Linked DNA regions of Mytilus edulis. The protein of the gene in region 2 purifies or fractionates together with the protein of the main gene of each other region. This does not show direct contact. Links are inferred from orthologs where the notes say so. Each region holds a gene or a part of one and is shown on either strand. Other genes may lie near its edges. The genes, in order: ribosome biogenesis protein bop1-like and ribosome biogenesis protein wdr12-like.

Region 1 (10,346 bases), on a different chromosome or scaffold from region 2:
TTTCCTTATGTGTCATTAGAAAGTTCTGCAAATATTTACTTGTCCGAATAAAATTTTACTTGTCTGGATCCGGAACATCCATCAGACTAGTGGCTAACAGTGCAGACTATTTTTGATTCATTATTATTCATTGGATACCAATTTTCATGGATTTAATCATAACCTGGGAACCACGAATTTCATTGAGGAATGAATTACAAATGTTATATAGAAATGTATGCAGGCTTTGGCAAAACCACGAAATCAAATATCCAGCAAAATGAAAATTTTCCTAAATCCATGAAAATTGGTACCCACGAAAATTAATGAATCCATATAGTAATGTATTTGTGTGTGTTAAAAGCAAATGTGACATGGGACTTCATACTTCTAATGTAAAACTGAGATATGTCGCCTCATAATGATTATTATCCTTACTTGTGAGTTGGATATTTTTCTTTCAATGAGTTAATTATCTGTTTCTCTACGGCCTGATCTGTTTCTGTCACTAGGTCAGCATAATTACTTTTGGTCTGTAAGGATTTCTCTTTGTAAAAGGCCTCTCTAACTACCTGGAATATAAATTTTGGGTAATTTCTGACAAAGAATGTCCGATCATTGAGTCATACCCATTTATTATCAATCTTAATGTTTAAAATACAACAAGCCTTGTCCAACTAAATAATGAGATATACATGTATACTGATATGAATATCAATCCAAACAGGTCATGTCAATAGCCAATGACCCTTAATACCAGAATTCAAATGACAGTTTAATGACTAACTTTACTGGTAATATTCATTTTAAACATTTAGCATGGGTTTTTTAGGTGTTTTTTTTTAGTATACTTTGTTTTTTTTTGTCTTTCTATTTTTATCTTATTTTATTTTTCTATAACCTTATACCATTTTTCTTCAAGTAACATTCATTTCATTTTTCTGTTTTTCCCTATTTGTCAAAGGCAGAGATGCAACTAATCGTCGGACCTGTCAGACCTAAGGGGCAGAATTTATGCAGGTCCGGCAAAACTCGTTGCTGTGCAGGACCTGATGGCCGTCAATATTTTAGTCTGCTTGGGTCAGCCAAAACTTAATTCCCCGGTCGGTCCTGGCAGAGTATTTTGTTTATAAAATTGTGAATTTACAACCACGTTGCATGATTAGATAGAACAACATTCAAGGCTTCGATTACATAATAGAAATCGGGAGTTCAAACTGTTTTAATGATAACTATTATAGCCGGACACCTTCCAAATATCCTTCCTTAAAAAATAAAAATAAAACCTTTTGCAGTATAAATTTCAGTTTTGAAATCGTATGTTTGACATTGTTAATTTATTGAAATATTTATATCAAACGCAGTTATTTAACAGAGAATACACACCATTGGTTTGAAAAATGACGTAACTTTAACCTCCGTAGCAGAGTTCAAAAAATCTATGGGTCACTGAATATTCACAATATATTTTATTTTTTAAACTTTTCTTTCAAATTAGTTTTAATCCAGAAAAAAGTAAAAACATTGCCTGACTGTACCTTAAGTTGAATATCTATATCCAAATTCAATTAATTAAAGCTGTAATCCATGATCAAAAATTGAATGCTTTGTTTACAATTGTTGAAAGCCATGTGCTTTTTAGCGGGAAAATTCGGGAAACCCCTTAACAGGAAACAGTTACATTTCATTGTTATTTATAGACATATTACAAAGTTTTTACATAGATTATTTTGAGTGAAAATATAGGTCTGGCAGAAATGTGATGGGTCTGGCAAAACTTCGTACCCTGTAGGCCCCAATGTCTGACAGGAAAAAAAAACTGTTTGCATCTCTGCAAAGGGGGTAGCCTATTCTTTCTATTCAACTACATACATGTATATATAACTTTAAAGAGTGTTTAAGTGTGTTCAATTGGAATATTTTGCCTGAGAAAAGATAAATAACAATGCAGCGTATATTGTAAGACCAAAATGTATCATTTCAACACAACAATCACCTTAAATTGTAAACATATTGGAGAATATAATATTCATTTGTGCATTTGGGTCAGGTTGAAGACTGTGCCATCACTTCAACATCATTCCAACATACTGAAAATTTGCAAAACAAAAAATTAACTTATAAAAAAATTCAGTACCTGTAGGAAATTTTTGTAATTTATTTTTATATGTACCTTATAAATAAGTTTTTAAATTCATTATTGGTTTATAATCCAAATAAAAAAATGTGAATATAAATTATCAATGACATTGCTTAAGTTCATAATTACCTCCCCTGCCTCCTTGGCTACTCCTGTAGCTGTCTTTAAATAATCTTGAAGTTCAGCAGTAGACATATTCTACAATAAAAAAAATATACAATTTTTTTTAAGTCAGTTGTATTGCATATTAACATGATTAATGATGTATCTCCACACAATTTTGGCTTCTTGACATCATTGTACATGTATCTCACTTCTATATGTCTGAAACTAGTTTTTAAATTACAATACTGAATACAAATTATTTTCCTTGTTGGAAAGTTTACTAGTACATATGGAGCTCCATAAATGAAAGATGAACCATGGAGGAAAGTTCATCCAGTAAAACAATGCTGAGTGTTGCAATCAAAACTAAACATGCTAAACTGATATGTTCATTTATCCATTTTTTTTAAAAGGCTAGTGCAACCTTGGACACATGTTGGATAGTACTATAAATAAATACACAAGGTTAGGGTGAAGGTTGGCTCCCTATAAAAACATTTAAACCCACTGCATTTGTTTGCACCTGGCTAGTAAAGAACCTGATGTTCAGTGGTTGTTGTTTGTTGATGTGGTTCATAAGTGTTTTTCTTGTTTTTCATTTTATATGCATGTAGATTAGACTATCGGTTTTCCTGTTTGAATGGTTTAATTTTTTTTACACTAGTTATTTTTGGGGTCCCTCACAGCTTGCTGTTCTGTGTGAGCCAAGTCTCCATGTTGAAGGTTGTACTTTGACCTATAAAGGTTAACTTTTACAAATTGTGACTCAGATGGAGAGTGGTCACTTTCTGACTCCCACTACTATACCTGTCTGAAAAGCAATATTAACTCCTGATTTATATCGACAGGAAAACGTCATCAGTATAGCACATGCTGAATTATCCGTATTAAGGATGATTTACTCATATTTAATAAATTTATATTTATGTAGTACAGCTTAGATGCATGATTTTTTTTTATTAGTTGTTAGTGGCTTTGAACTAGCTGTCAGATAACTGCAAGTACTCTCAGATCTGTTCCTAGTGTCTTTTTGTTGTCGGGATGTACAAGTACCCGGCCACGTCCACTTGTATGTTTGTCCATCTGATGAGTTAAGCCTTTTTCAACTGATTTTTATAGTTCGTTCTTATGTTGTACTGTTATACCACTGTCCCAGGTTAGGGGGAGGGATGGGATCCCACTAACATGTTTAACCCTGCCACATTATTTGTGTATGTGCCTGTCCCAAGTCAGGAGCCTGTAGGCTGTATTTTAGTGGTTGTCGTTTGTTTATGTGTTAAATATTTGTTTTTCGTTCATTTTTTATATAAATAAGGCCGTTAGTTTTCTCGTTTAAATTGTTTTACATTGTCATATCGGGCCTTTTATAGCTGACTATGCGGTATGGGCTTTGCTCATTGTTGAAGGCTGTACGGTGACATATAGGTGTTAATGTCTGTGTCATTTTGTTCTCGTGTGGACACTTGTCTCATTGGCAATCATACCACATCTTCTTTTTTTATATTAATTGATAATTTAATTTTATAAATAGTATTTGTATATATTTGTTCATGTACTGACTTATTGACTGACTCTGACAGAGTATACAGCATGTACAGTATGATGGTTCACATAAGTATTTACATCCTGGGTTTTCTATTTCTTTATTCCGATTGGTTACTCTATGAACACCTTTGATCTTCAGACACTCATTTCAAATTATAGGGCTCTTCACGGTTAGTTAGGCCATATTCATATATTGGATAGGGGGCAGATTTTTTAGAAAGAGGTGGGAATAGTATGAAAGTATGGGAAATCCTATGTGTGCTATCAAGCATCTGCTCTGTTTTAATGATGTTTTCCCGTATTTTCACACTATTTTTACCTCTATTATGAAAATCTGCCCTCTATCCAATATGGCCAAACTAACTGTGAAGAGCCCTATTCTTCACAGAGATGTAGAACCCTACTAGGAATTATTTATGCTCAACTTGATAAGTCTAAATTTATAAATGAGGGTCGTAACGCTAACGGTAATTTTTAGTGCATGACGATAAAAATTACACTTTCTCAAAGACGATCAAGAAATAAACTGATTTTGAGTACTCACAATAATAATTTGAAACCTTTGACGAATCACAATTTTGGCGAGACACAGTGAAATTTTTAACAAATTTAACGCTAACAGTAGCCGAAATGAAAATTTATCGTCTGACGGAAGGGCATTCTTACATTCATTTAAATTTATAATTTTTTTGTGCTATTTTGACTTTCTTGCTGTTTGTTTATTCATTTATTTTTTATCCAATTTTTTGTTTTTTTTATGGGGTGAGGGATCACAGCCTTTAACTAAACCAAACAATACTTTTAACCAGTTAACAACCACTCGACTGACTAGATAAAGATTAATAAAAAACGTTTTTCTTACTTACCGGTGTGTGTGTTACCGAGTGTTCTCCCTTGGTAAATAAGACCCATGTAAATGATAATACTGTATTCTGGTTTTAAGAATAACAAAGGTCTTTAAAATATATGTAATTATTTTTTTGTTTTTCAATATATCCCTATATTCCTATCATCTGAGAATATTCATCGATGAAAGACATGAAAATTATTTCAAAGATATCATTTGTTTTTGCATGTAGCGTGTTTCCGGTTATGAGATGTAAACATCGAAAAAGATTGTACTTTTTATCAGCTTGTATTAGACTATACTTTGTCATATTGTGGCTTTAGGACTCATATCCTGTAAAAATATTTAAAGGTAATGGAAATACATATTTACAGACATCTCAAATTTTAGATTTCGTAAAAATATCAAGTAATTTGTGTTACAGACCATTCATCATGTCATGAGACTTAGAAAATTATTGAAGAGTCTGATTATTGATTAAAAAAAGTGTATGAAGAGGAAGGCATATCTTTTAAACACATATTAAAGTGTTAAAGATCCTTTACTCATGTTTTGTAATGTAGCTAACTGACAGTGATGCACCCATACACATCTGCACATGTTGGACTAGTTTTACACACTTATTTTTTATTGATTACCGGTCATGGCTGATACTTTTCTGTCTCTTTCTTGTTCACAAAGTTATACAAACAGACCCCTTGTTTGTTTGATATACTTATGATGTTACCTAATTGGTCCTTTTTTACATTCTGCTGCTGAGGGCCCAGGGGCCATGAATAGAGTCACAGGGTCAGTGTTGATTTTAGTCTTTTTTTCATATTTACTTGTATATAGATATAGGAAGATGTGGTATGAGTGCCAATGAGACTTCTCTCCGTCCAAGTCACATTTAAACCATAGGTCTGTTTTGATCATGACAATTTTAGCCAATAGTTATCACATATGAAATTTGTGAAAATTTGGGGATCATTATCAATGTTATTAATATGGATTTATATTCATAATATTATGACAGCCAGTGTCTTATATTTATTAAAACCAATTATTTCTTGTAGATGGATTTGTTTCATGACAAATCAGCCAGTGAATCAGATGGTGACACAACAGATTCAGAAGAAAGTGTTTATTCAGGACTAGAAGAAGAACCAGACACATCAGATGATGAGGTATAGATATCTACCTTTATATACATTGAATGTCATATCTCTTCTACATCTTTACAGTATCGAGGAACTATTTCCTCTACGTGTTCAGAGTATCAAGAATTGAATGTCATATCTCTTAGTCTTCCATGTGTTTACAGTTTAGAGTATTGAAGAATTGATTGTCATATCTCTTCTACATGTTTACAGTATCGAGGAATTATCTCTTCTACCTGTTTAGGGTATTAAAGAATTGAAATTCATATCTCTTTAATTTGTTAAAAGTATCAAAGATTTGAATGTTTCAGACTAAAGGATATAGTTTTATCAACATGAATCATTGACAAAAGGACATTTTAAATGAGCCAGGCATTGTACACCTCTATATTGGGCTAGAGAGGACAATGCATCAGTTAAGGTTCTAGGTCATAAAAAGTTTAGGCATGCATTTTCATTAATGTCAAATAACAGTTTAAGATATTTGTCAAACATGTATACAGAACATGCATAATATTGTTAAATTCTTACTCAAAACAACTACAAAACCACATATCAAATATTATTGACCTGTTGTGTATTGTGATTGAGGAAAAACTTCAAACAGATATTGAAAATCAAGTTACCATCAGTATGGTCTGACCACAATAATTGGCTTACGAGCTCTCATTAAAAAAAATACCTACATACGCAAACAAATTATGTTCAGGTATGCAGGTTATAAATAAATGCCATCAAATAATAATACAGGTTCATAAAGAATGAAAGACACAACAAAAATCAATGTTTCACAAACATGAAAAATATGTTTTTCTCAATTTTATTTACAATGGTTGAAATGTAAAATTGCTGATATAGATTTGTAACTTAATAAATAATTTTTCAATAGGAAGTAAAGAACGATGACAAATCAGACAGTGAGAATGGGGATAATAGTGAAAGTGACAAAGAAAATGTTATTGACAATGATACAGAAGACAAAGATGTGAACGAAGAAGATACAAACACTGTTAATGTGGCAGCTAAAAATAAATATAATGATAAAAATAATACACGAACAACATCTCAAACAGTGGAAGACGAATACTATCATGATTCTTCTGATGAAGAGGTAAGTGTTTTGATTGGTGGAAAGTATTTTAAGTATTAATGTTATCATCTTATTTGATTGGTTAAATGATTTCTTGTACATCATTAGTATATAAATAATTGTTTGTTTAATGGAAAGTATTCTTATTTCTACTTATTTATCAATATTTACGATAGCAAAACACAATAGGTGATCATGCAGTTGAATATTCTCATAGATAAATGAAGATGTTGTTTATACCCAAAGGAGACAGCAACCCTGCTACTCAGTGATCCAAGACGTATTGAGGAAAACATGTAGTCTTCACAATACAGGTGTCTACACCATATGTCAAGAGGAAAACATGTAGTCTTCACAATACAGGTGTCTACACCATATGTCAAGAGGAAAACATGTAGTCTTCACAATACAGGTGTATACACCATATGTCAAGAGGAAAACATGTAGTCTTCACAATACAGGTGTCTACACCATATGTCAACATGTAAATTGTACAATAAAGTTCATAATAATTTAAACCAAAAAAATTTGTGCTTTGTTGATTAACAAATAAGTTAGAGTTTAGAAAAAAAAAACTTACTTTTGCTGTATATTTCAGGATATCCGTAACACCGTGGGTAACATTCCAATGGAATGGTATAGGGACTATCCACATATAGGTTATGATGTAGAGGGAAGAAAGTTAATCAAACCCAAAAAAGGAGATGAACTGGATGAGTTTCTACAGAGAATGGATAATCCAGATTATTGGTTTGTATTAACATGTTCATTAAAAGTAGATTGATGTGTATGGTTTTTTTCTCATTCAATGTAGAAGAGATCTGGAGAGATTGGAATGTACCTATTTCTGTAAAATTTATATGAGGGTGGTAAAGGGTTATTTTCGTGCAACGTTTTCGGCCTTTTTATTTCACGTGTTTTCGTGTTTTTGTGTTTTATTTCTCGTTTTCTCGTGCTTAGTTCGATGTGCGTGCTTCGTATTTCCCCTTATTTATTTTCCGTGTTTCGTGTCGGTGCTCTTAATTTCTCGTTCTTGCATTGTTCCTCATTTTATTAAAAAGTAAATTGGAACTAACTCAAAGTCAGTGAGTTATAGTACCTTTTGAAACTTGACGTGTAATATAATGGAAATTGATGTATATTGTTACCATTCTACTTTCTATTGTATATGTATGCTATACATGTAATAGAGTCCATCATAATAATTTTTTTTTTCAAATCAGATGCAAGTAGCATAGGCTAGCCTAAAAAGTGACCACAAGGTCTTTATGTCCATTAACAATGAACGGCTGAGTAATAACTGCTGGTACTTTTTTTCTTAATATTTACGATTTTATTTCTCGTGCTTCATTTTTCCCGATTTTTATTTTTCGTGCTACGTTTTTGCGATTTTTATTTCACGTGTTTCCGTGTTCAGTACCCCCCTTTACCACCCTCTTATATGTTTTCTTCAGTATGAATTTAAAAGCTGAAGGTGACAACTATTGATGTTTATCTTTATAAAAAAAGAAAAAAGTTATATCAAGCTTTTTCTATATTTCTCTAAAGGAATAGAGAAAAAAATAGATCAACACTGGGCCTGCATTTAATGTGAACAGCGAGGTTGACAACCATTAAGGGGAGATAACTTAATATGAACCCTCAAATTAGTTCTGTAGGGAATTACATGTATATGATGTTTAGTTTTGATAACAAATGCCATGCATTGAAATGTTTTCAGCAGATGTAAACTTTTGCTTATAGTTATAGTTATAGTAAACTTGTACACATCAAATATTTAGAATATGTTGATAAAACTAATATATAATCCAATATAATTTTAACCCTAGGAGAACAGTGACAAACAAAATGACGGGACAAAATGTATTACTGACCAAGGAAGATGTCAGTCTGATAGAAGGTCTCATGTTACAGAGGACACCTGGAGGAGCAAAGGAAACATATGAGGTATAAATATCAAGAGAAAGAAGGCCACCTGATTTCAGAGTTTGTGATGTATTTAAATTATTAAATTGTTGAAAAACAAGGGGGAAAACACAAACTTAAAAGCAAAAGAATGAAAATGAAAACAAAATCCTAACCTTACATACAAATAGATTGATTGTATCTAGTTTGAATGGATGTAATCATTTATTTCTAAACATTTTTTTTTTCTCTTATTGGTCAATACGTTTACCTTGTTTGATGGACAACTGAAATACACTTTTTCTTTTTTAGCCATGGATTGACTTCTTTACACATGAGACAATGATACATCCTGTTACCAACAGACCAGCTGACAAAAGAAGTTTTATTCCATCGAAGTGGGAAAAATTAAAGGTAACTATAAACTAACAGTAAACAATAGGTAAGTCATGCATGATCATCATGTTAGATCTTCAAGATTCATGTGGAATTTTCAACATTTTATATTTTGTGTGATTCTAGTTTCAAGAGTTTCCTTCCAATCTTTCAAAACTTTAGATTATGAAACAACTCTTACTTTGAATTAAAGTATTATTGAAAGCATTTAATAGATGTTTACCAGTTATATCATACCTACATACCATGTATGTCATACATATATATTTTAGCATTAATCACTTTCATGAGTCATGTTTTTCTGATTACTGTGGATTCATTACTATTCTAGGGGTACAAATCAAGGAACGTGGATTCATTACTATTCTAGGGGTACAAATCAAGGAACGTGGATTCATTACTATTCTAGGGGGACAAATCAAGGAACGTGGATTCATTACTATTCTAGGGGTACAAATCAAGGAACGTGGATTCATTACTATTCTAGGGGGACAAATCAAGGAACGTGGATTCATTACTATTCTGGGGGACAAATCAAGGAAAGTGGATTCATTACTATTCTAGGGGTACAAATCAAGGAACGTGGATTCATTACTATTCTAGGGGGACAAAAATCAAGGAACGTGGATTCATTACTATTCTAGGGGTACGAATCAAGGAACGTGGATTCATTACTATTCTAGGGGACAAATCAAGGAACGTGGATTTATTACTATTCTAGGGGGACAAATCAAGGAACGTGGATTCATTACTATTCTAGGGGGACAAATCAAGGAACGTGGATTCATTACTATTCTAGGGGGACAAATCAAGGAACGTGGATTCATTACTATTCTAGGGAGACAAATCAAGGAACGTGGATTCATTACTATTCTAGGGGGACAAATCAAGGAACGTGGATTCATTACTATTCTAGGGGGACAAATCAAGGAACGTGGATTCATTACTATTCTAGGGGGACAAATCAAGGAACGTGGATTCATTACTATTCTAGGGGGACAAATCAAGGAACGTGGATTCATTACTTTTCTAGGGGGACAAATCAAGGAACGTGGATTCATGACTATTCTAGGGGAGACAAATCAAGGAACTATCCATTTTCTATGCAGACTTTGGCAAATTACAACAAATCAAATATCCATGAAATGCTTATTTTCCTCATTTCACAAAAATGGTATCCATGACAATGATATTAGAATC
Region 2 (9,988 bases):
TTATTTTTTCTAAGATTTATAATTCAGATCAAGCCGAGGACACCTTCAGTGTCGCTTTTCCTTTTTCTGCAAGAGCCTGTTTTTAACTAGAGATCCTTGATGATTATCGTTACTAGGTTAATGTAATTGAGAAACATCACCCGTTGAGATGCTGAGTTTTATCCAGGACTGAAGAATAGTTTAAAAGGAATGATGACAAGTTATAGAAATCAAGGTTGAGACAGAACAACAAATGACTATTATATTTATATATATGTATAAAAAAAAATCAGTGTCGAAATTTTAGTGAGGTTTCGCCGTTTCAGAATCTAATGCATTCTGGGTAATATTTTCAAAAGTGTACACCAAAGCGTGGTGATTGGTTTATAACGTCCCAAACAATTAAAATTCAGCCAATGACGTGACGTTATTTTCATTTTGGGGTACGAACAATGAAATTACCCATAGTGCTTTAGATTCTGAAATGGCCTCACTTGCCTCAAGGGTAGCTATACGGCCTTGCCCTTACCTGAGATAGTGGTGTAATAGTACAACATTATCATGAGAAAGAACTAAAAAAAAACAGTTGAATCAGACTAAAGGTAGATTCATGGTATACCACCATCTTGGATTGTACAATCGCAGTACACAATCGGTCCAGTTCTCTGCTATAATCTGCAAATTTTGAGTCAGATTTGCAATTAATTGGTTAGACTATTCATTTATATATTGAAAGACAAATTAGTGATTGATTGCATTGTCCAAGATGTTTAAACAAATATCAAATATTAGTGTCTTTTAGAATCAATTATTAAACTTAGCAATCTAAGAGGAGATAACTCTTTTTTGTAATAAAATAATACTGGACTGATTTACTTGAAAAATAGCACTGTGACCCATACTTTTTATTATATTTTTGCCAAAAAAGCATTGTAAAATCTTTATTTTTGCAAAGTCATGATAAGAAAATTATATCTAAGGAAATATATATACCAATGACATACCTTAACTCATCAGATGGATACAAATAGAAACCCATTTAGGCTTCTTTTTTATTGAAAATAAGGAAATAGAAATTCAACGAAAATACACTTCGCCATCCATTGAAAAGTCCTCTTTACTTACTGTGACATCATAAAATTTTATCTATATCAAAGACCATCAAAAAACAAAACATGAAGATGCCAAAAATGCACTTTCTAAAATTGAAACATTTTAAAATGCTTTGGGAGCAATCATTTGACTTTAAGGAAGGAGGGTTATGAATTTTTGTCTGAGCTAAAAAAAAACACGCACTTTTTGTTTTGTTTTTTTTTGTTTTACGCTATCTACCTTTTATTTTAATTTAATACTGTATTAAAGATATGAGGGAAACCTGGATTTAGAATATGTTTTGGTGCGTTATCTGCTTAGTTATTGAGGTACAAGTCCCCTTGTTGAATCCTTAACTCATCTAGGTGATAGTACTTGATTTCGAGATTTTTTCCTTGTTTGAACCAAACACATTCAATATATGTATTTATATAAAAAAAGAAGATGTGGTATGATTGCCAATGAGACAACTGTCCACAAGAGACCAAAATGACACAGACATTAACAACTATAGGTCACCGTACGGCCTTCAACAATGAGCAAGGCAAATTTATGTATGTATCAGCATTGGAATCTTTTTACAGATTTCTAAAAACTCGTACAGCTAGGATACCAGGCTTATGTGTTACTGTGGGCATCAGTTGTACTCATTGGATATCAGACTTGTCTCTTAATTGTTTTGAATACCATGTATGATCAATGTCATGAAGGGTTTCTCTGAATTTTATTTGTATGGTGAGTTTGATAACTTGATGAGATGGCCGTTGCGTACGCCCTTGTGATATTTTTGCTTTGAATAATTTTAAAACTGCATAGTTGCATGTGCTGTGGACGTTTAGCCAAGTGGGCTTGTTTTGAACAATTCTGATATGGATAGCAAAGGGTGAATGTCCTTTTTTTGAATTTACAAATTTGGGTTTCGCGTTTAAGCTCTCTGTAGGAATTTACAATGTGGGAACGATTATTACAGATACCGGTGGACAGCAAACGAGTTCGAAAAAAGACATGCACAAGGAGACGTGATTTATTAGAGACACATATCGTTTTGAGTATAATTGAAAATATAGAAAAGGACACTTATTGTTGGTTAAATTGGATTTATTGGGGTTAACATTAGATTGTTGGTGATTTGGATTTTCGCCTATCTCACGACCCCCTATAATGGGTATTCGAATATTGAAGGTTTTTTTCTTCTCAATATTGTCCCATATGTATTTCGATACAAAATTATCACCCATTTATATATTTCTCAGTAAGAGTTAGACATCCAGAGACATGTCACATGCTTGAGATCGTAGAGACATGTCACATATTTGAGATCATAGAGACATGTTACATGCTTGAGATCGTAATTGCATTTGTACAGACATTTTTCCATATGAAATACTACCTCAATAATGTATTTGACATATAAAAAGTTAACCATTCCAGCGACATGTCAGTGTGTTTTTAGTGTTTATATATAAAGTCCCCCTCCAAAAACAAAATAAGACAAAATAACAACTATGGAAACATACGATACAGCCGAAAAGGGCTGCCACTAAAAGTGCACAACCAAGGCTTCTATAAAAGAGTACGGAATCAATAGGTGTTGATAGGAATACATACACCATAGGAATACATACACCATAGGAATACATACACCATAGGAATACATACACCATCGGAATACATACACCATAGGAATACATACACCATCGGAATACATACACCATCGGAATACATACACCATAGGAATACATACACCATAGGAATACATACACCATAGGAATACATACACCATAGAAATACATACACCATAGGAATACATACACCATAGGAATACATACACCATAGGAATACAGACACCATAGGAATACATACACCATAGGAATACATACACCATCGGAATACATACACCATAGGAATACATGAATACACCATAAGAATACATACACCATAGGAATACATACACCATTCGACTGTCACAGTACCTGCTCTTTGGTCGGGTTGTTGTCTCTTTGACATTTGATATTCCCCATTTCCATTCTCAATTTTAACATATCGAAGTTCATTATTGTCGAAAACTAGTAATATATGTGTCAAAGAGAACATTTACAGTTTTACTGAATCGTATCGAAGTATTTCTACTAGCATGTTTAACCTTTTCCTTACAGAAAGATGCTTTATATTTATATGCAAGTTGCAGCAGATCGAGTCATATCATTTATTCAACAACAAAATCTATTGCCGAGATGATCTTCTATTTTTCAAAATCTATATGAGTATCAATTTTGTATTCATGCTGGGACCAAAGATTTGTATACTATAGAAGCTTTACGATACAATTCCTGCTGAAACTAAAAGGCCTACAGTGAATTATTACTTTTTCTGGAGAAAAAAAATGAAATGAAAATTCGATGAAATTGCATCAAGGCATCTTATGAAAAGTATATAAAAATTATTTAAGGCGGATCCCTACAGATATAGCAAATTTTTTTTCACCATTGAATTTTTCTTAAAATTTGCATACATATACTATGCAATGGCCTCTATGAAAATTTGAGTTAAAAATAGTATGTCACCAGACTCGTTTCCATGGTAACGGTCACCAAAGTTGGCACATCACGTGTATGCATAAATACATACCTGATGTAGAAACTCTGGATTTTTTTTTAAGCCTTTGAAAGTATTTTGAAAGGTTTGTTCTTCATTTATTACAAAATTATTATTTAAAATGTAAATAAAACACAAATAATGGCAGTTTTATTCATTTTCATTGATTTCGGCTCTAATTTCATCAACACTGCTCCACAAAAAAAACACAGATTTTGTTAAAAATTTCTATTTTTCTTAAATTTCCAAAAAAATGGTCCAATGAATATTTTTTTAAATTTGACATAAGATGGTCATAACAATGAGCTTTAAAAAGAAATAAAAAAAAATATGGGTCACCAGACTATTTTTTGCCCGAAAAACGTTTTTGTGACCCCTAACGAAACAGTGATCAACAGCAGTTTTTTTATATCTTTCATCATCGGTGTGACATATGTTGTCATATCCTTTGTTAAACTAACACAGAATAATACAGTTTCACAAGGCAATCAAATGAGAACAATTTTTTGGTTTCTATGAACAACGGTTACCATGGCAACAGGACATGAAGTTGGAAAATTCAAGTTTTTGCATTGTTCTGATGTGCAAGATTAACAACCTAACAGACAAGATATTGTATAAAAAAAAGAGAAAATGTAAAAACTTTATTCTAAAGTAGAGCAAGGATTTGTATAGTATCACTATACAAATCCTTGCGTAGAGTATAACTTGATTGTTATAGAAATCTCAGGTACAAATAATTTTAAAAAGAACTACAAAATTCAATTTTCAATTTTATAGAGTGGGGTGCCCATATTCGCCGGGGACACAATTTCACCGTTATATGATTTTGGGGTGTAAAAACTTCAAAGGATGGCTGAAATGAAGAAATATGCCGGTGAATTATATTTTTATAACAAACATGATTATTTTTTAATCTGAGACAAAATTTTGGCAATTACCGCAAAGGACCGAAAAATAGACAACGATTTTCGGCTGATTTCCTGAATGAAAAACATGGTTTCAAAGAAGCATTTCAAAGTAATTCTTTGACTTGATTGCCCTAAATTTCAGTTCATTACACCTTTGAAATGTCTGCTATTCATCTATAATGACATTGATTTGATAAACATTGTTTAAAGTTATTTGGTTTTAAATAGATGTGTAAAAACGGCGAATATGTGTCCCCCATCGACAAAACATCAAGAAATTTCAAACACCCTTTAGTCTCACTTTTAAGATGATTATTTTCAAACAAACACGTTTTCAAGCTTAAAAATATTTTGCATTGGAAGTAATCTTCATATAGAAATATCAGTTTACTTCAAAAACATATAGACCGGAACATAAACTGTAGAAAACATCGAAAGATATGGCGAAAATGAGCACCCCACTCTACAAATAATTTTAAAAAGAACTACAAAATTCAATTTTCAATTTTAATAAAATTGAAAATTGAATTTTGTAGTTCTTTTTAAAATTATTTGTACCTGAGATTTCTAACAACCAAGTATTTATATAGTGAACACATATATAAGATCGTATAACCAGAGACATACAACAGTAATCACAGGTTGTACGAAATTTTATCATTTATTTTGAGGAAAGACGGTAATAATACCACTCGTTCGGAACTTCTCTGACGTTATTAGTTTATGAAAGATTTCCGACTATCTCCCCACATGTTGATAAAATGGAAACAAACAACATACCACATGTCCAAGCCAGATTCTTTACAAAACAACCTCAGTAATATGTTTAATCAATTTATTAGTTAAAATTATTTTCCTAATGTCAAACCTAAAGAGGGTGTACTCCAGAAGTACCCGTTTAAAACCGATAATTCGATTGATTTTCCAAGCTCAGCATCAAGATAAGTCAGATATTAGTCAAACAAATTTATTTTCTTCTTTATAACTGTTAGGATGCCAAGAAAATATCATCACAATTTCTCAGGAGAGTTTTTCCCTGAACAACACCTATCAGCAAGGGCAGTTCTTTCAGAAAGCAGAAATCAGAAACTCATTTTAATTTATGCTCCTTTCAAGAGCATACATAGAAACTCCCCTTGAAATATGTTTTTAATTTACAGAGGGTTCCCAAAAATAGAGCATTGCACCATTTGAAAATTGCATTTTACTTTGATTTTAAGCTTAGAATACTAGAAAAGAAGGTTAAAAGGAAGGACTGTTTGCAATGTATCTTGGGTACATCGAATGGCATTAGTTCCCCCTTTAATAACATAAATAAAGTCCCATGGAAATTATGCATTAAAATCTTCATTGTAATGTGTAGTATGAAAAAAATGCCGACAAGATTCCAGAGACAACAGTTTGGGGTATTGTGTCATTTTAACTAGATATATTGCACATTTGACCTCAAAATTTTCTTTGATATCTTGGATTTCCAATTTAATTCAAGATAATACTAGATTTATTTCACTTGACTGGGCGGGGTTTAAGAAGTTTGCTCATTTAAGACCAGTCCATCTATGGACAGGAGTTTTGGGACTCATCAATGAAGTGTCCAGTTATTTTTCGCATACCACACACTCAGTTCTTTAGTACAAAATGTATATGTGTTTGATGACACTGATAGGTGATTAGAATTCAATACTAATTATAACGGCAATCATCCTTATCACACACATCTTTAAATAGATTGTCCTTATGCAAATTAAAACATAAGCTCCGCCTGATCAGTTGAAATAACATTGGTAAAACAACTTACCGGTAATGAAGATCATGTTTTTTGTTGGCTCTTACAGTTTTATGATTTTTAGAACCAAGATAATGTCTGAAAGATCTGGACCTAGATTTGTTTTTTTAACAATATTGTTTTATAAATGTTTTATGAGTTGAAATACCAGAGATAATCGGTTGATAACTATTTTCCTGAACAACAACAATTAAACATTGTACTAGTGTAAGAAGTCACATACCTGCCAACTTTTCAAAATGACCATGGGGTTTTTGCGTGCAAGGTGGCTCATATAGTCCTACAAAACCTTCAAGGGGGCCTTCAAATACATTTTGATGTTGGTTTTGGGCTTTTGCATACTTTTAAAAGCCTTTAGCTATTGTAAAAGTCATTGTTTTGTTTAAAATTGTTAACAAATTTGCTCTTTCAAAATTTCCATTTGGGAGCTTCCATGGGGGAAATCCCCCACAAATAGTGACAGTTGGCAGGAAAACCCTTCTAAGTTGAGAAGCTTGAGATGGAGAATTTTTAACTAAGAGATAAAAAAATTGAAAAATAGAGATACATTAAACTTAGCATAAGATGTGAACTTTTTATTTGTTTTCTTTGTTGATTACTACATGTACCAGTGTTTATCTATTGGTAATCAGTGTTTTATATTTATCAGGATTTACATGTTATTTCTTTTTCTTTGTCAGCAGATAGTAAAATCATTAAAGAAAGAATGTACCATAATATTTAGTCAACAGTATTGTTGCATTAAATTATTAGTCGCTGAATGAAAAAAGTCAGAATAAACCAACAAAGAAATCCATTTCCACTTCATTTTGAATTTTAATATTTTTTAGGTTTTCAGTTCCATCTGCACCATTTTCAGTTCAAGCACAAGTTGGAACATGTGACCTGAGTTCATTAATAAACAGTCTATTGAATGGTTTGTATGCTTTTCAACCTTAAAATATAGAGCATAGTTGATCTTTAAAAGGAGTAAAGTAAATTCTGATGAAAAAGTTTAAAAGTGCTTAATATAATTTTTTTTGTTTTGCTTCTAAGTTAGTGCAGAAAAAATATTTGTATTGAATAAGAAGAGCAGCTAAATTGAGAGTATGTTAACATTGAATATGTGCATGTATGTAACATAGATTCTAATGCAATTTGGATGTTACAATTTTTTTCATTGGCTAAAAATTGCCGTCAAATCCACAGTTGACCAGGCGTAACTAAGGAGGGACCGCCATTTTGAATTGATTGAATCAACAAATGTTCGTTTACTTCTATATAATCGAAAATAAAAACAACACCTACCTCGAATTTGCCGTTTTAATGTAATTTTATCCGAATTTGAAGCGTACAGGTAATGTAATAAACTCCAGTTTGAAAGTTTTTATTTATACGATGCACGTTAAGCCATGACGTCTTTGTGCCAAAATCATTCATGAAGTTTCGCAGATTTTTTTCTTTTTGTCAAATTTAGACATTTTGTCAAGTTTTATTGTATTTTTTTCTTTTTGTAATGCATTAGAATCGGAATAACAGTACTGTAGTTGAAGAGTTGCCACCGTCAATTTTGATTTGACGGTCGCAAATCTCCGTTTTACTGTCTCCGCTACGCGTCGCCAGTAAAACTGCATTTGCGACCATCAAATCTACAATTGACGGTGGCAACTCTTCAACTACAGTACTGTTATTCCTTAAATCTACCTTCATTTAAATATATCCTGTAACTTTGATAATCACAAAATAAAATTGCATGGAAGTGGTCTGAAAGGGCTGAATTCGAAATAAAGTATCTGGGAAAATAAGTTGGTTTACAGTATAATAATATTATATAACTTGAGTTGATATCAAGCCATATCCAGTTCTCAATTGTTATAAGACCTTTAAGGTACCCAACACCTTTACTAAAATTAATTTGACTCGTTTAATTTTCATAAAATTTTGACAAAGTATTTACTTTGACCCTTTAACAAAAATATAAAAATTTCAAAATATTTGAACCAAACGTTTTATCAGGAAAATTACACTGGTTATATAGCAGTTTGACAAACACACATTTTGATCATTGAGAAGCTTAATATTCCCTTAACAACACAACGTAATTAAAACGTTTAGCTGATTCTACAGAGTTATCTCCCTGTAGTGTTAGGTACCACCTTAATTAAATTATTTTTTAATTAAATAATTTTGTATTGATCGTTTTCAATTTCAGAGGGCGATGGTGAGAAGACAAATGTTGATTTTGATTTTTTAATTGATGGAGAATTTCTGCGACTAAACTTAGATAAGCATCTAGAAAACAAAGGCATATCAACAGTAAGTGTTTTTAAGACATTTTAGTACAAGTACAGAATGAGTGCCACTGGTCCAGGTTTATATATCTATTAAATGCCTTTTAAAGAAAAATATACGTACACTTCAGGCTCAAACAATCATAAAATTGGTTTATGTTCATTGTTCACTTTGGAAATAGACGACTGATTGAGATCAAAAGACAATTTGAATAAATCTTTGATTATTGTTGAATTAATAATATTGACTATGATGGAGAAAATGCTAAATAAGTTTTTTGTTTTCTGCTGAGAACCTGTCTGTACAGGAATTTTTACCTAGAAATCAACACAACAAAACAGATTAAATTTGACAAATACCAGAGCTGACCATAAGGTGTTTTTATATAGAAATTGGATCCTCTGTTTTATAAACTGACATGTATTGGATATGGGGAACAAGGTGCTACACTATTGGTTATTGCTGTATCCATTTTAATGTGTTTTGATTACTAAATAATGTTTTCTGATAAAAATCCTTTCTATAAATAATTGTTTTTAAAAAAAAATATCACAACTCATTCATGGTGATTTTTGGCTTATATTCACACACATATACATCCCTTTTAAAACAATTTATTATTTCTATATTAAGGAGTCATTGGTTGATATAGAATACATTGAAAAACAACAAGCTCCAGAACCAGAAGACTCACTAGTACATGATGACTGGGTCAGTTGTATACAGGGCTGTAAAGATTGGTAAGTATAAATGTAACCATGGAAATACAACAGTGTCTATGGTAAGGTATCAGGACTGTTAATCTTTGAGGAATTCCTGCTTCCTGCCTACTGAAGGCCAACTAAACCAATAAAAAAAAAATCCTGTTTCAACTTTTCAAATAAATAAAACTTGAAAAAAAATCTGAATTCTCAGTATTTGGCCATCCACATAGCAAGGGTTAAGAAGATTGAAAAATGAGATCAGTATTGTATTGCATGTGAAATTTAAATGGTTCTGTTTTATTTAGTTGCACATTTTGCTATACTGTGAAAGTACTTTAATTCGTGGGTATCAATTTTCGTGGTTTGAGGAACATTTACGTGGGTTTTTAAATTTGTGGATTTAAGTTTTCTATGAAAAAAAAATTTGTAAAATTGAAGCCATTAGAAACAAAGGTTACAAGTTGTCTGGATTGAAGGAAATGCAAAGTAAACATTGACCTGTCTAAATTGTTGTGACCCGGCACACTAATTAATCCTAGATAGAGTGATCAACAGATTAAAGATCAAATTAAAGGTGTTGATTAGGTCATTACCATGTCAGCTAAAGAAAACAATTACATAAACAAATGCTTTAAGCGTATCTTGAATTG

Evidence for each region.
Region 1: the proteins of ribosome biogenesis protein wdr12-like (region 2) and ribosome biogenesis protein bop1-like purify together in Homo sapiens (affinity purification with western blotting; 6 studies listed by BioGRID and IntAct, with this or other methods). This does not show direct contact. The link is inferred for Mytilus edulis from reciprocal best matches to the Homo sapiens genes WDR12 and BOP1.

Annotation. Positions count from the first base shown.
Region 1 is NC_092348.1:8,560,898-8,571,243, reverse strand, and holds the start of ribosome biogenesis protein bop1-like, read left to right. Parts: upstream 1-4,200; 5' UTR 4,201-4,215; coding exon 4,216-4,236; intron 4,237-4,568; exon of another isoform or gene 4,569-4,593; intron 4,594-4,635; exon of another isoform or gene 4,636-4,701; intron 4,702-4,827; exon of another isoform or gene 4,828-4,967; intron 4,968-5,671; coding exon 5,672-5,782; intron 5,783-6,644; coding exon 6,645-6,866; intron 6,867-7,443; coding exon 7,444-7,595; intron 7,596-8,674; coding exon 8,675-8,792; intron 8,793-9,062; coding exon 9,063-9,164; intron 9,165-10,346. Other genes in the region: inositol monophosphatase 1-like, read right to left, coding at 418-551, 2,249-2,314. UniProt on the Homo sapiens protein: Component of the PeBoW complex, which is required for maturation of 28S and 5.8S ribosomal RNAs and formation of the 60S ribosome.
Region 2 is NC_092345.1:84,386,975-84,396,962, forward strand, and holds the start of ribosome biogenesis protein wdr12-like, read left to right. Parts: upstream 1-5,267; 5' UTR 5,268-5,338; coding exon 5,339-5,394; intron 5,395-7,193; coding exon 7,194-7,279; intron 7,280-8,554; coding exon 8,555-8,658; intron 8,659-9,267; coding exon 9,268-9,374; intron 9,375-9,988.